Rhinolophus ferrumequinum: one gene and its partner. The protein of the gene in region 1 purifies or fractionates together with the protein of each later gene. This does not show direct contact. Links are inferred from orthologs where the notes say so. Each region holds a gene or a part of one and is shown on either strand. Other genes may lie near its edges.

What was found. Proteins that work in one complex are often made in the same cells at the same time.
Region 2: the proteins of TESK1 (region 1) and RABEPK purify together in Homo sapiens (affinity purification with mass spectrometry; 3 studies listed by BioGRID and IntAct, with this or other methods). This does not show direct contact. The link is inferred for Rhinolophus ferrumequinum from reciprocal best matches to the Homo sapiens genes TESK1 and RABEPK.

The regions. Positions count from the first base shown.
Region 1 is NC_046295.1:51,807,475-51,814,604, reverse strand, and holds the start of TESK1 (dual specificity testis-specific protein kinase 1), read right to left. Parts: upstream 3,013-7,130; 5' UTR 1,959-3,012; coding exon 1,740-1,958; intron 1,621-1,739; coding exon 1,499-1,620; intron 1,364-1,498; coding exon 1,315-1,363; intron 818-1,314; coding exon 671-817; intron 334-670; coding exon 251-333; intron 93-250; coding exon 2-92; intron 1-1. UniProt on the Homo sapiens protein: Dual specificity protein kinase activity catalyzing autophosphorylation and phosphorylation of exogenous substrates on both serine/threonine and tyrosine residues.
Region 2 is NC_046295.1:74,837,682-74,844,787, reverse strand, and holds the start of RABEPK (rab9 effector protein with kelch motifs), read right to left. Parts: upstream 3,007-7,106; 5' UTR 2,831-3,006; intron 1,054-2,830; exon of another isoform or gene 905-1,053; intron 1-904. Other genes in the region: PPP6C (serine/threonine-protein phosphatase 6 catalytic subunit), read left to right, coding at 3,299-3,373. UniProt on the Homo sapiens protein: Rab9 effector required for endosome to trans-Golgi network (TGN) transport.

The DNA.
Region 1 (7,130 bases):
CCTTCTCATCATACAGCTCACCCCGCAACACCTCTGGAGCCATCCAGTACGGAGAACCCACCACAGCCAATGGCTCCTTCCGTGCCCCCTCCCTGTAGGGCAGGGGCAGAGTGGTGAGAAACACCCCACTCAGACATCCCCCCAAACAGAAGAGAAGGTCGGCCCCTCCCCAACCAAGGGAAATGTCCCCGGGGGCTTCCTTTAGCTAGGGGTCTTCTAGAGGCTTAGGGGACAGGGGTGTTTACCTCACCTATACACAGGGATCTTCTCAGCCAGCCCGAAGTCGCCCACGACAGCTGTGAAGCCTTGGTCTTCCCGTCGGATCAGACAGTTCTGACGTACACATACAGCATCCCCACACACCCATCACGTTCTGCTCTTCCCTCTCCCAGGCTATACCCAAAGCTCTGTCATTCCACAATAAGCCCAAGGCTCTCTGACCTCCCAGTTCTCCAGTGCACCCCAATCTTGCAGCATCATCTGTCACTCCAAAACACAGTGTGGTACTCAGTCCCTCAGAGCACACCCCCTCAATCCAGGCCCCATTCTCCAACGCCTTGCTACTCTAACATCCTAACATACCTGTTATTCACATTCCAACATCCATGGGCTAGTGACGACCTAACAGTCTCAAACCCCACTTCATGCCTCCACCCATTGGCCAGCCTACCTTGGATGTGAGGTCTCGGTGGAATACACCTTTGGCGTGCAGGTAGCGCAGGCCGTGGGCAATGTCCAGAGCCAGGCGGAGCCTGACAGGCCAGGAGAGGGGTTCAGGGGAGCTGAGAAGCTGTTCCAAGGTCCCCCCATTCATGTACTGGGACATAGGGGGAAGAGAAGGGGAATGAACGTCAAGGTTTCAGTCTGTACTCTAGTCTCCCACTTATAAGCCAACGGACACTGAGGATCACAAAGGTCAGAAGGGTGAGCCCGTGCTCTAGGGGTGTTCTGTCCCATACATGTACAGCGATTTACATTTAAAGTATTAAGTTTAAATAAAATTAAACATTCGGTTCCTCAGTCACACTAGTCACGTTTCCAGTGCTCCCTAGCCACATGTGGCTACAGTTTTGGACATCACAGATATAGAACATTTTCATCGCTACAGAAAGTTCTATTGGACAGCAGTGTTCTAGAGGATAGAGAGGATGAGAACAGCTGAGGCCTTTTATTTGTGGCTTGCCCAAAGGGAAGTTCAGGGCAGCCTCCCTGGGAGGAGGTCCTGCTGCCTCTCACTATTCCTCTGTAGAAGCACCTGGCCCTGACTCTCCTTTTGGTGGTGGTGGGAGTCCCCCCTTTCTGGCCCATCCTCACCTCTGTAAGAGCGTGCAGCTGCCCCTGGTGGACACAGACCCCCATGAACCTGGAAGAGGGGAGGGAAGATAGGAGGGTAGGCTGTAAGAGCCCTGCCCCCCATCTCCCGCAGTTCCCACTTTTCCAGCGGGATCTTTCCCCTTCCCCCAGCAAGCTTCCCAGCAAGCGGCTGGGACCCGCTCACCTTAGGATGTTGGGGTGCCGGAGCTGGTTCATCAGCTGCACCTCCCGTAGCGTGTTTCCCCGGTTACTGGGGAGCCTGTTCATTTTCAGCACCATGACTTGCCCTGACTGTCGGTGCCGAACCTGGGGGCGGCAGAGGCGAATCCCGGGTAGGTCGGGCAGGTCTCCCGGGACTGGGCCCGTATCTCCAGCCTCCCGTCTAAGGCTCGGTCCCGCCCCTCTGCCCTCTCTGCTGGTCCTACCTTGTAGACCTCAGAGAAGAAGCCGGCCCCGATCTTCTCCGCGCAGTGGAAATCGTCCACGCGCGCAAGGCTGGACACCGCGCTGCGGAGCGCCCGGTAGGAGGAGGGGCGGCCCCGGCCCGGGCCTGCACCCGCGCTCCCCGGCCCCGGGGGCCCCTCCCCCGGCGCCTCTCCCGGCCCGGGTCCAGGGCCCCGCAGTGGGGGCCGTTCCCCGGCCATGGCCGGGCCCCCAGCCCGGGCCTGCCTCACATGGCAGGGTCCCCGGGGCCCGGGCAGGCCGTGCTAGCCATGGGCGCGGGCCCAGCCCGATCCGGGGCGCCGGGGCTCCCGCTCCCGCCTTAGAGAATGGAAGATCCGCTGAAGATTCTGGGCCCGCCCCCGCCGCGCCGGCTTGCTGGGCCCGGGTGGACGCCGCTCCGCTCCGCTCTGCGCAGGGCCTGGGCCTGGGCCGGGCGGTGGCGGTGGCGCTCCCGGGCGCCGGCTGGCAGGAGGGCTCCCCGCAGGCGGAGGCGGGCGGGCGCGCCGGCGGCAGCGGCGGTGCTCCTCTTCGCCGCTGGGGCTCAGGCTCCGCGGCCTGCCGGGGGCGGGGCTGAGCCGGGCCTCCGCTTAACTCCTTCCAGCCCGGCCCTCAGGCAGCGGCCACGCCCCCTCAGGTACGCACCCCCAACCGCTGGCGGCGACGCCCTAGGCGAGTGGGTCTGGGGCGTCGGGGTCAAATCAGTTCAGGCCCGAGCTGAATCAACGCAGGGAGAAGGGCTGATTGTGCGTACGTGTGGCTCAAGTGTCTTTTAGCTGTCCAGGGAGACCTTTCTCCCCTCCCATCCTCAGGTCACTGTCATTTGAGGACCGGGCTCAGGAAGCCGCCAGATTCCTGGGCTACACGGACCAGCAGGGAAGAAAAGTCGACCCCTCCGGCCAGCCACAATCGAAGGCAGCCCAGTAACCTGCTCTCCTCGTTGGCCGCTGCCCCGGCCCAGCCTGCCCACTTCCCAGGTCTCCACTCCTACACCTTGAACCTCTGGACTCCGTCACACTTTTCTTCCTTTTCGGGCGGCTGTGATGCCTCAGGGCTGTAGTGAGCCCTTGGCCAGCGCATCCCTATTGTAGTCCCGACTCCTCACTCCATCCCACCTCCCTCGTTTAATAAAGTTCAAATCGCAGAGCCTCCGCCTAGAGACCCACAGCCTGGACTATTTCGTCCCAATGACCCTCTGTCTCAAAAGAGAAGCCTCCAACTACAGGGAAGCCCCTCCTTCCGCCAGATCCCGCCCCTCGGCCAATCCCAGCTCCTCAAGGGGCCCTTTCCCTCAAGACCCCGCTCTGCCTCAGTGAGACCCCTCCCCTTCAGCGGGACCTTTCCTCAGTATGACACTGGCAACATCAGTATGTACCAGAACCCCTCCGTGCGACACCCCCCTCTCGTGTATTTCTCCCACGCAGAGACCCCACCTCTCAGTGACTCCGCCGGTCATTGTGACTCCGCCTCTCAACGTGACTCCTCCCCTCAGTGTGGCCCAGCCCTTATCAGTGTGACCCCTCAGCAGGTTCCGCCTTCCATCACAGAGGAATCCGGTCTGCCCCCTCAGGCCGGCGGAGGAGCTGCCGCTGGCGTCTAAACCAGCTCGAGGCCCTGAATGCGCACGCACTGTCACAGGAGCCTGTGCACTCGCCATACTCGATGCTTCTGCGTCTCCGCTGGCTCTTCCCCCAGCCCTCGGCGAAATAGCCAGTCATCGCCAAGGGTGGGTGATGGGTAGCTCGATCCGGGCGGACTGCTCCCGGGCGGGCGGTCGTGGGCGTCAGTGAGCGCCACCTAGCGGGGGAATGGCGGGCGGCGGGAATGGAGGCTGTGGGCCTCGGGAGGGAAACAGGCGGCGACAGAGCTTTGAAGCGAGGCTGAATTCTCTTCAAAAATTCTAAAGTACTGTATTTCTATTTCTGTGGTAAGCTAAAAAGAAAATAAAGACACAGTCCACATCCGTGTGGGGACCGCCTTCTAACAGAGTTCTGTCCCATGTTTGTGAGTTGGGGCCAAGTACTCTTTTAGTTGTCAAGGGCTAATGAGAAAAGAATACTCAGCCTTAAATTATAAACGATACGTTAGGGTGGAGAGAAGGCCAGATGCTGTCTCGGTGAGGGAAGATTTCGCGTATGTTTGGAGGGGCGAGCAGGAGAGATTCAGTCCTTCCAGAGTCAGTGGAGAAAGGCCAGTCCGGAGAGCAACCTGTGCCTGGACCATGTGCGGCGTACTCAATCTTCCAGAGGCAATTTGGTCTCAGCAAAACAAGCTCATTCATCGCATTAAATTAATGTTAACATCTACAATTACGTAATTTGTAAATTTGCTTTCTATAGAAGAATGAGATCTATAAACACTAGGAATTTATGCCTCATTTTGTTTAAGTAATATCATGCTAGACAACTTAATTGACATGTACCTGACCCTTTATCCAAATTTGAGAATTATACTATGGCTAGTGATGGAGATTCCAAGCAGAGGAGCCAGGTTCCTGCTTTGGCGGCAGTGAGACTTATCAGAAGGAGGCTCTGACAGTGCTTCAGTCAGGAGAGGATAGGGGACGGAACTAAGATAGAGATAATAGGGAAGGACAGGAGGAAACACTCAAGTAGTGGGAAAACGTGCTGATTGATTAGTATCCAGAGTCAGTCCTGTGGAGAGAAAGAGCATCAGTCATAGTAATTTTAAAATTTCTAGCTTAGACGATGGGGTGATATCAACTGAGATAAAGAATCCAGGAGGAGGAGGGACCTGCCCGGTGGCTCAGGCGGTTAGAGCTCCATGCTCCATGCTCCTAACTCCGAAGGCTGCCGGTTCGATTCCCACATGGGCCAGTGGGCTCTCAACCACAAGGTTGCCAGTTCAACTCCTCGAGTCCCGCAAGGGATGGTGGGCTGCACCCCCTGCAACTAGCAATGGCAACTGGACCTGGAGCTGAGCTGTTCCCTCCACAACTAAGACTGAAAGGACAACAACTTGACTTGGAAAAAAAAAGTCCTGAAAGTACACACTGTTCCCCAATAAAGTCCTGTTCCCCTTCCCCAATAAAAATCTTAAAAAAAAAAAAAAGAATCCAGGAGGAGGAAAGGTTGAGTGGAGGAAGGTAAACAATTGCCATAAACAAAGAGGTGATGGTAAAGAAAACTATGAAGGTGGATGCCATCATCCAAGTGGAGTGTACAGAGGGAGAAATAGACGGACAGTGAAATCCTGGGAAAAACCAACATTAAAGGGCAGACGGAGTAAAAGAAGTCCGTGATGGAGGATGAGAAGAGACAAGCTGAAAGAATCTGGAGAGTCTGCTGCCATGGTATCCACGGAATGGAGAGTTTGGGAAAAATGGAGTAACGAATAGCATTAAATAGTGCAGAGGGGTCTGCTAAAACAAGTTTTAAATGTTCCTTGAGTTAGGCTATTAGAAGATTTTTTTGTTGTTTTTCAAACTTTTTTGTGGTGGAAAATGTCAAACAAAAAAAGAAAGAGCAGAGAGAATAGAACAATGAGCCCTTATTTACCTTGGGTGAGTAAGGCTGTTTTGTTGGAGACCCGTGCTTCAGTTGTACTGTTGCCATAAGTGAGCTGGCTCAGTCAAAGTACCAGCTTTCATGTACCTTCTATGCCAGTGATTCTCCAATGATCAATTCCTGGCCAGTCTTGTTTCATACCCCTGCTCTCTTCCCCCCACTCCCAGTTATTTGGTGCATATTTCTGACATTATATCAATTCATCAACAAATATTTCAGTATGTTATCTCTAAAAGATAAGGATTCTTCTTTTAAACAAAATCACAGTACAAAAGTTAACAGTCATTTATTAATACCATCACGCATTTGGTTGTTCCCATTTCCCCCACTGTTTCATAAATATTTACTTTTTAAAAATTGTTTATTTGAATCAAAAGCTGAGTAAGGTCCATACTTCTCAGCTGATATGTTTCTTAAATCTTTTTAAATCTTTAAGTCCATCCTCCATTGTTTTTCTCTTTCTATTTATTTTGTAAGAAACCAGATCATTTGTCCTGTAGTTTCTCAAAGTCTGAATTTGTTGAGCTTCTGATGTAACTTAGCATGTTCCTCAGTCCCCTGTATTTCCTGTGAAATGGTAGTTAGAGACTTAATTAGACTTAGATTATTTCTGAAAACTAATTCATAGGTGGTTTTAGTACTTCTATCAGGAGGCACAGTGGTGGTCTTTTCGTGATGTTAGTAACTAATGAGGATGATTGTGTAGAGTGTGGCTCAAACTCAGCCCTGCTGACATCCTGGGCAGGATATTCTTTCTTGTGGGGAGCTGTTGTGTGCAATGTACGATGTTTAGTAGCATGCTGGCCTCTACCCACTGGATGCCAGTAGCAACTCCCCCAATTGTGACAACCGAAATTGTCCCTAGACATTGTCAGTTATCTCCCAGGCGGCAAAATGTCCCTGACTGAGAACCACTGGTCTAGTTTATTAATATAGGACTAGAAAATAATATTCTCATTCTACCCTTCTTCATGGAATAAATATATCTACAAAGAGAAACTTTACCTGTTTGTTCCTCAGAGGTATATTTCATGTAGGAAAGGCAAGAAAAATCCTTGATTCTCTTTTTTTTATTTTACCAACTTAAAAAAAAAACATTTATTAAATTTATTGGGGTCACATTGTTTAGTAAAATTATATAGGTTTCAAGTGTACAATTCTATAATACATCATCTAGATACTGCACTGTGTGTTTATCACCCAGAGTTAGTTCTCCTTCCATCACCATGTATCTAATCTCCTTTACCCTCCTCTACCAACCCCCTTACGCTCTGGTAACTGCTAAACTGCTGTCTGTGTTGATGATTTTTTGTTTGTTTGTTGCTTTCAGTTTTATATCCCACATACGAGTGAAGTTATATGATTCTTAACTTTTTCTGTCTGACTTATTTCACTTAGCATGTTGTCGCAAATGGCACTATTTCATCTTTTCTTATGACCGAGTAATATTCCATTGTGTATATGTACCACATCTTTATCCAATCTTCTGTTGAAGGACTCTGGTTGTTTCCATGTCTCGGCCACAGTGAATAATGCTGCATTGAACATAGGGGTACATACATCTTTGTGGATAAACGTTTTAAGATTTTTTTGGCTAGATTCCCAGAAGAGGGATTGCTGGGATATATGGTAATTCTGTTTTTAATTTTTTGAGGAACCTCCACACTGTTTTCCACAGTGGCTGTACCAATTTACATTCCCACCAGTAGTGTATAAAGGTTCCTTTCTCTCCACAATCTCTCCAACACTTGTTATTACTTCTCTTGTTGATAATAGCCATTCTAACGGTATCTCAGTGGTATCTCATTGTGAGTTGGTTTCCTAGTGTCCTCCAAAACGCACCAATAA
Region 2 (7,106 bases), about 23 Mb from region 1:
TTTCATCATCTACAGAATGGGAATAGTAACACCTACCTCAGAGGAAGCAGTTGAGAGTGTTGGATAGTACAGGTGAAAGGCCAACTTGGTAAATATTTTGGTTACTTGAAACTATAATGAAAATTTATTGACAATATGGTCTGCAGTTCTCTTCACTGCTCAAACATCCTATTTCAAACACCTGGAGTCTTTGTGAGTTCTCATATTAATGGGAAAATCTCCACTGACTGCCAAAGAGGAGTTTAGGGGTATTTAGTCATTCTGCTCTCCTTCAGGAAAGGAAGCCAAGGGCAGGTTGGCTCTGCCATATGTCCATGTGCATCTAGATGGAGATTTCTGCTTAGAGTTGTAGAATGCTCTGATGTCCCCTATGTCTTTTGGCTTTTCAAAGTACTTTTCAAAATACCATGCTGGAGTTGCACATAAACAAGAAAAACTGGAAGAGGTTTGTGGGCAAAATAGCAAACAGTTTTCATTGTGGGACCTATGCTTTTAGACTAGAAATCACATTTCAGAAAGTGCTAGAAGGAACTTTTGAGATCTATTTTTAAAATGGAAATCAAGGCCCAGATAAGTTAAAATGACTAACTCACACAAATGGCAGAACCAGGAGCCCAGATCTTCTGCTTTGTGCAAGGAAGACTAATGACATATTCCAGTCAGCAAGCTCTGTACACTCACTGTCTGTGTAACAAACCACCCAATGTGTCTATTACCTCTTCTAAGAACTCACCCACCATTCAGGGATACCTTCCTCCTTTCTCTATGCTCCTCATGTGAACAGTGAGGGTCACCGAATAAGGTGGGTCTGCAGGATGGAGCTTCTTGCTGCCAGACAATTTGGTAATGTGAGGACTACCAGTTATTTTCACTGGAAAGGATCTCATATGCTTTCATTACCTACCTGATCACTGGCTTATCAGCAAGGGAAGCAATGATGCCGGTGACACTTTCCTTTCAAGCACTTTGTCCTCCTTCCCAATTCTGAGATAGTATCTTGAGTAGGATTCATTCCCAGTTACTGAGGTGCAGAGATGAAAAGTGAACTGCCAGCTTTCCAAAGAGGAGTATAAAAAAAAAAAAGTCAACAGTAGCATATTTTCCTCACTTGGAATTTTTTTCTTCAAGATATTTTGAGCATATTCTCCCTTATACTTTTTCCCCCTAAAGTCTTAAATGTTACCTCTTCAGAAAGGCCTTTCCTGCCGTCCAATGCTGAAGAGCTAACACTCACATTGCACTCACTCTGGACATGACATCGTTTTAACCCCTTTCCACATATTAAATTTATTAAACCTTAGTACAAGCCTATAAAGTATTACTCTGAACATCTCCGTATGGGGTAGGCACTTATTACTATCTCCATATTGTAGCTGAGAAAACTGGAGCACAGAAAAGATAAATAACTTTGCCAAAGTGATACAGTGAGTAATAGACTTGAACTCTGGTTCTAGAGTCTGCACACTTAACCTCCACTATCTTGACAATCTTAAAATAGGCCTCTCCTCCATTTTTTAACTCACAGTACCCCTTCTTTCCCTCTTTAACAGTAATCACACTTTGCATTTAATTACGTGCTCATTTATGTTTATTGTTTGTCTCCTGTATCATTCACATCATAGGTACTATGTAACTATTATTGAACAAATGAAGAAATGTATGTTTGTGAGCATCATTCATTGTGCAACCAATTTTAAAAAATTAATTTTACTAGAAATGATATTATACTTACAGAACAGTTACAAGAAATATATGAAGAACTCCACCCAGAGACTTGATTAAATTTTAGCCAAATGTCCCCCAACTACATTGTAGAACAAGAGGATCCAGTCCAGGGCCACTTGAGTAACAAATATAGATTGAGAACCTGCTACTATTGGATTATGTAACAGTCTCCTAACTCGTCTCTCAGCTGCAACCATTGCCTCCTAGTTTCATATTGCACCAGATCCTTCTAAAATGAGTTAGATGATGTTACTACTCCTCTGCTCAAAACCCTGCAGTAACTCCGTTACATTAAAAGTAAAAATCAGTAAAAACAAAACAAAACAAAAACAACAACATTCTTTTCTCACATCTCCTCTTCTCACTTTGCTCCAACCACACTAATTTTTTTTGCCATTTCCAAGGTTCTAGATATGCTTCCATCTTAAGGCCTTTGTGTTAGCTCTTTCTCATAACTCCCCTCTAGTATCTGCTGGCTAACTCCCCCACCTCTTTGTTGGTTCTTAAAAATGCATCATCTCACCTCCCTTATCATGCTGTGCTTCCCCCCTCCCAGCACTTGATTACTTTTAAATATACTATATATTTATGATATTTATTGCTTATGTTCTGTCTCCTCTACTACAAAGTAGCTATGGGTTGAGGATAGGGATCTTCGTCTATTTTGTTTGCTGAATATCCCAAGTGTCGACAGCTGTACCTGGCACATAGTTGGTGTTCAGTAAAAGCTGTTGAATGAACGAATATTGAAGGTACTTAGTGCCAGATCCTGTTCTTGGAACTGAGGGTACAACAAAAACTACGTGCTCGCATGGGATTCACACTGAAGTATATTTAAACCAGCTAGACCCGTGTTCCAATCCTGGCTCCCGCGCCTATTCCCTTTGAAACTTGGGAAAATTAACCTCTCTGAGCCTTGCTTTCCTATCAATCATTATGAGGAAAAACAGCATTTATATAGCATGTGGCATAAAAAACGCTTTAATATTTGTTTCGCTTCCTTCCAGGCTGGAAGATTCGTAGCCTGACATCTCTGCCACAGATTTAGGCAAGGTTTTCACAAGGCCTCGGAAAGGTGCAAACAGATTACTACGGCCAAGCTTACCTAATTTTTAATTGAAGATGTTCTCGTGACAGAATGCTTAAATGAGTCGTAGTGGGAAACCAGGGAATGACTAGAGTCACATACTTCGCCGTTTTGCATCGGAAAAGCCTCGTTGGGTCCCCAGACGTTAAAGTCTGGAGGAAGGGAAGAGGAGGAAAAGAGGCGTAGTTGGCCGCTACTGAAAACTACAAATCCCATCCCTCTCAGCGGCAGACAACTACGGGTCGCAGCCGGTTTCATTTTATGTAGCCAGGGAGCCCCTTAGGGCCCGCAGCCTGCGTTCAGCGGGAGAAGGATCGGGGCGTGCCGAAGCAGCGGGGAGAATCGGGTCAAGCTTTACGCCGCTGCGCAGATGCCTCTCACGGGCCGGACGTGACGTAGGAAGAGTTCCGGCTTCGGCCTTTGCCGCTGCCGCCGATACTCCAGCCGCCGCCGCCGCCGCCGCCGTCCGGGCTTGTTATTTCTAAAATGGCGCCCCTAGACTTGGACAAGTATGTGGAGATAGCGCGGCTGTGCAAGTACCTACCGGAGAACGACCTGAAGGTGAGCCCGGTCGGGGCGGGAGCGCTGCTGGCGGGCTCGCCCCTTCCGGCAGTGGGGCGCCCGCCGGCCCGCCCTTCTCTACCCCGGACCCCCGCCAGCATCCCGTCCCGTCACGATGGAGGGCCTGACGCAGTGCTGAGCGACCCGTTCCGACTTGCCTTCTTGCGGAGAGCGGAGGGAGCGGAGCCATAGTCCCCCGAATGCTGTCCCAGTTCCGTAGTGGGGATCCTGAGGGATGTCGCGGCCTCTGTCCCAGGGTTATCCCCCCTGGCTTTCGGGTGTCCCGGGGCACTGAGCCCTCACAGCTGTGCTTGGAACAGAAGTCTTCTCGCCCCTAACTCCATCTCCGGTCTTCCGGAGTCCGAACCGAGCCCCAGCAGGCAGTGCCCTCGGAATGGGTCATCCCCCCAAATATGACAGGAGGTCTGGGTGGCTGGCGAATGACAGGAGATGCCGCCGGCCTCCGGAACGCGTCCTCAGTCAGCGTGTTTGGGTTCCTGAGGACTGGAAGACGGTGGGCGGGAGCGGTTTGGTGGTGATGCGGGAAAACGTCAAGTCGTCCCTCTTTTCCTACCACTCCTCCCAGCTGCTTTTCAGGAGTGTTGGTTTTCTTCTGCCAGCTCAGATATGAATTCCATTTGCAAGTATGTTGTTGAGCTAATTTAAGTGGGTAAAACTAATATAAGTGGGTAATTTAGTAGGCCCTCAATAAATACAAATACTTTTCTGTCCTTTAAGGTGTTTCTCCATAATCCTTTCTTAACCCAATATTTCATTTTTTTGGTTTACTAAAGGAGGCGAGTTTTTTGTTACTGCCAAGTCCAAGTAACAGTAAAGTATGTGTGGGTAAAGGAATAAACGTCAGTCTTTGACAAGTGTTTCTATTTCTGTGCGTTTGTTAAAACCGGTGTTTAGGTGTCAGCAGCATATAGCGGTTAGTAGGGCTACTGTCTTTTATTTTTTTCAGTTAACTTTGGTTTGTATGTGGTAAGTGGGTAAACTGTGTAGTTATGAATTTTTTTTTATACTTTTAAGCTGTGGGTTTAAAGCAATTCATCTTTGTCCGTGAATTTTTTTCTTTTAAGGAAGATGTTACTGGTTTTTTTGTTTTGCCCTTTTGATGCAGGAAGTTGATGTTTAATGTCAGTCAAAAAGTATGCAAAATCTTGAAGGCCAAAGGACCTTAATGTAACTTATTGTACTTATAGGTAAATATATGCTATATGATAGGGGAGTCATTCTTGTGCATGTCCCCCTTTTTAATAGGATAATTTAGTGCTCGCTTCGGCAGCACATATACGAATAGGATAATTTAATTAAAAGGAGGACAAAGCCAGTATTAGTAGAAATGCAGCTTTCATGTTCATCTGAGTCCTTTGTGGCTTCTTTCTGCTATATGCTTTTTAAGGAAACAAGGATACAACCAACACTGGTATCCAGTTCATGGAAATCTAACCAGACATCTTTTGGTAACATTGTTAATCCCATGGGTGAAGTTATTGTTTTTTTGTCAGTGAATTGATGTGAAATTTTCTATTCTTTAGCATCTGTAAAGCAGTTTTAAGCTTTGTGTTTATAATTAGTAAAATGTTGCTTATTATGAAAATGTGTCTTGATATTAACTTGAAATTGATATTGAAATTATTTGGATGATACATCAGTTGGATTTTCTTTAGACCTCTTAGTTTGATAAACGTTAGAGTTCCTTCCAACCTTAAGGAAAAATAGTTCTTAAACCATTTCATTTCCCTTTGCAACACAATTGGCGTATACTTAGCATGTATCTAGTTATTAATAAATTTAAAAAAATCTACTGAGGGAAAAATTCTGAATTTTTTTTTAAATAAGGGGAGGCTTTTCTTCTTTGTCTTGGAAATATTTTTATCAGATTAATTTGCTTGTGATGTATGCTCATCTCTGGTGTATTTAAAGAAATTTAATTTTGTTTCTTCTTGGCATGAAGTGCAAACTAAAATTAGGCAGTCCAAGAAAGTATTCCAGGAGTACCTTTTCTAAGGCTTTAAAGCCAAAATAAAAGATTCTGTAAGAGGAAGAAAAGAAATCACTGGGATCACGTAATGATCATTATGGAAAAGATTTGTTCTGGTAGAAAAGGCAGAAATTCAGTGTGTTTTAAATTGACTTTAAGTTGGAGGTACTAAGTAAAATACTAAATGTATAAGATGCTCTAGATCTAATCATGATTTCTCTACACCTAAATTGTAAGTGGTCATGTCACTAGTACACAATCGAATCTTCGTAACTGTTTCGCAGGAATAAGAATGAACTATAAAAGTGAGTGGACCAAAGCATACCCTTTCTTTAAAAAGAGCTCATGTGATTCTCATCCATAAGGATTCAGAGCTGATCATAGAAGACATAGGTAGACTGATCTGATCAAGTGGAAGAATGAATGATAAAAGACTGTTTCACTGAATACTTCAACTTAAATACTTTGGCAGGGGATGGGTTTTATAAGTTGGAGATTGTCTGATCTCTTGGATAGTTCTTAAAGGTGACATGTAAGCAAAGAAATTGCACACTGAGTTGGTGTACAGTTTTTTTTCACTGAGGAACCAAAGAGAGTTACCATGGTAGGGGTTGGAGAATACTAGTGTCTGTCTCAGAGATGCAACACAAGGAATTGTGTGATTCCATAGTAACCACTTTTATGGATTAATTGTTAATGTAATTTTTTTTGGAACTCACTTTTATGTTTAGTCTGAGCCATCTCCTAAGTTTTTCATATAAGGCTACCTGCTCTGCACAGTTGTACCTCTGTCTGAAATGCCTCCATAAAGGTTCAAAGAATTCTCCCTGGCTTTTTTATGACATTTGTTGAACAGCCTTTAATACCTTCTCATTCAGCCTCTATCTGATTTTATCGATTCTTATCACATATTGTAGTCTTTATGCTCCTGTACTTGTATCCTTCCATACATGCCTGTGAGTCTTGTTACTCACCTTATTGCCTATCTTATTGATCATTCTGTTTACTTGAGTTTTGTTTTGCGTTGTATCTTTCTTCAAGTACTGAAAGGAAAACTAAACAGTACAGGACTGAGGGACACACCATGGTTTTATATAGGGCCAGAAGAGTGTTTTTGTGTTTTCAAGACTCTTTTTGATAATGCTTTGCATTTTGTTTGTCTCTTTGGCCACAGAGTCACATTTTCCTATGTCTTCTGAAAATAGTCTATAACAGTGCTGTCTAGTAGAAATCAAATGTTCAGAGTGTGAGCCTCAAATTGTCACATTTTTAAAAACTAAAAAGGAACAGGTGAAATTAAGTTTAGTAATTTTTATTAACCTAATTTATTAACCTAAATATTTTATTTAACCTAATTTCAGCATGTAATCAATATAAAATTACTAATGCAATATTTTGCCCTTTTTTGTACTAAGTCTATGAAATATGGTATATATTTTATGTTTATGACACATCGCAATTCAGACCAGTCACATTTCAGGTGCTGAATAGCTACTTGTGGTTGTAGGTATCAGATAGGACAGTGCACACCTGTAACGATTCCCCAGTCCATTTCCTAGGATTTCAGAGCTCAGAGGGAATCGGAGTTCATCTAATTCTGTACCCTCCTTACTTTACTGAGGGGGGAACTGCGCTTTGTACAGTTATGATCTGCCTGAGAATGTCCAGCTAATCCATGAATTAGGTTAGAAAACTTCCTTCTGCAGGGCTCTTTCTGATACAGTTGATAGTTTTTTTAGGATG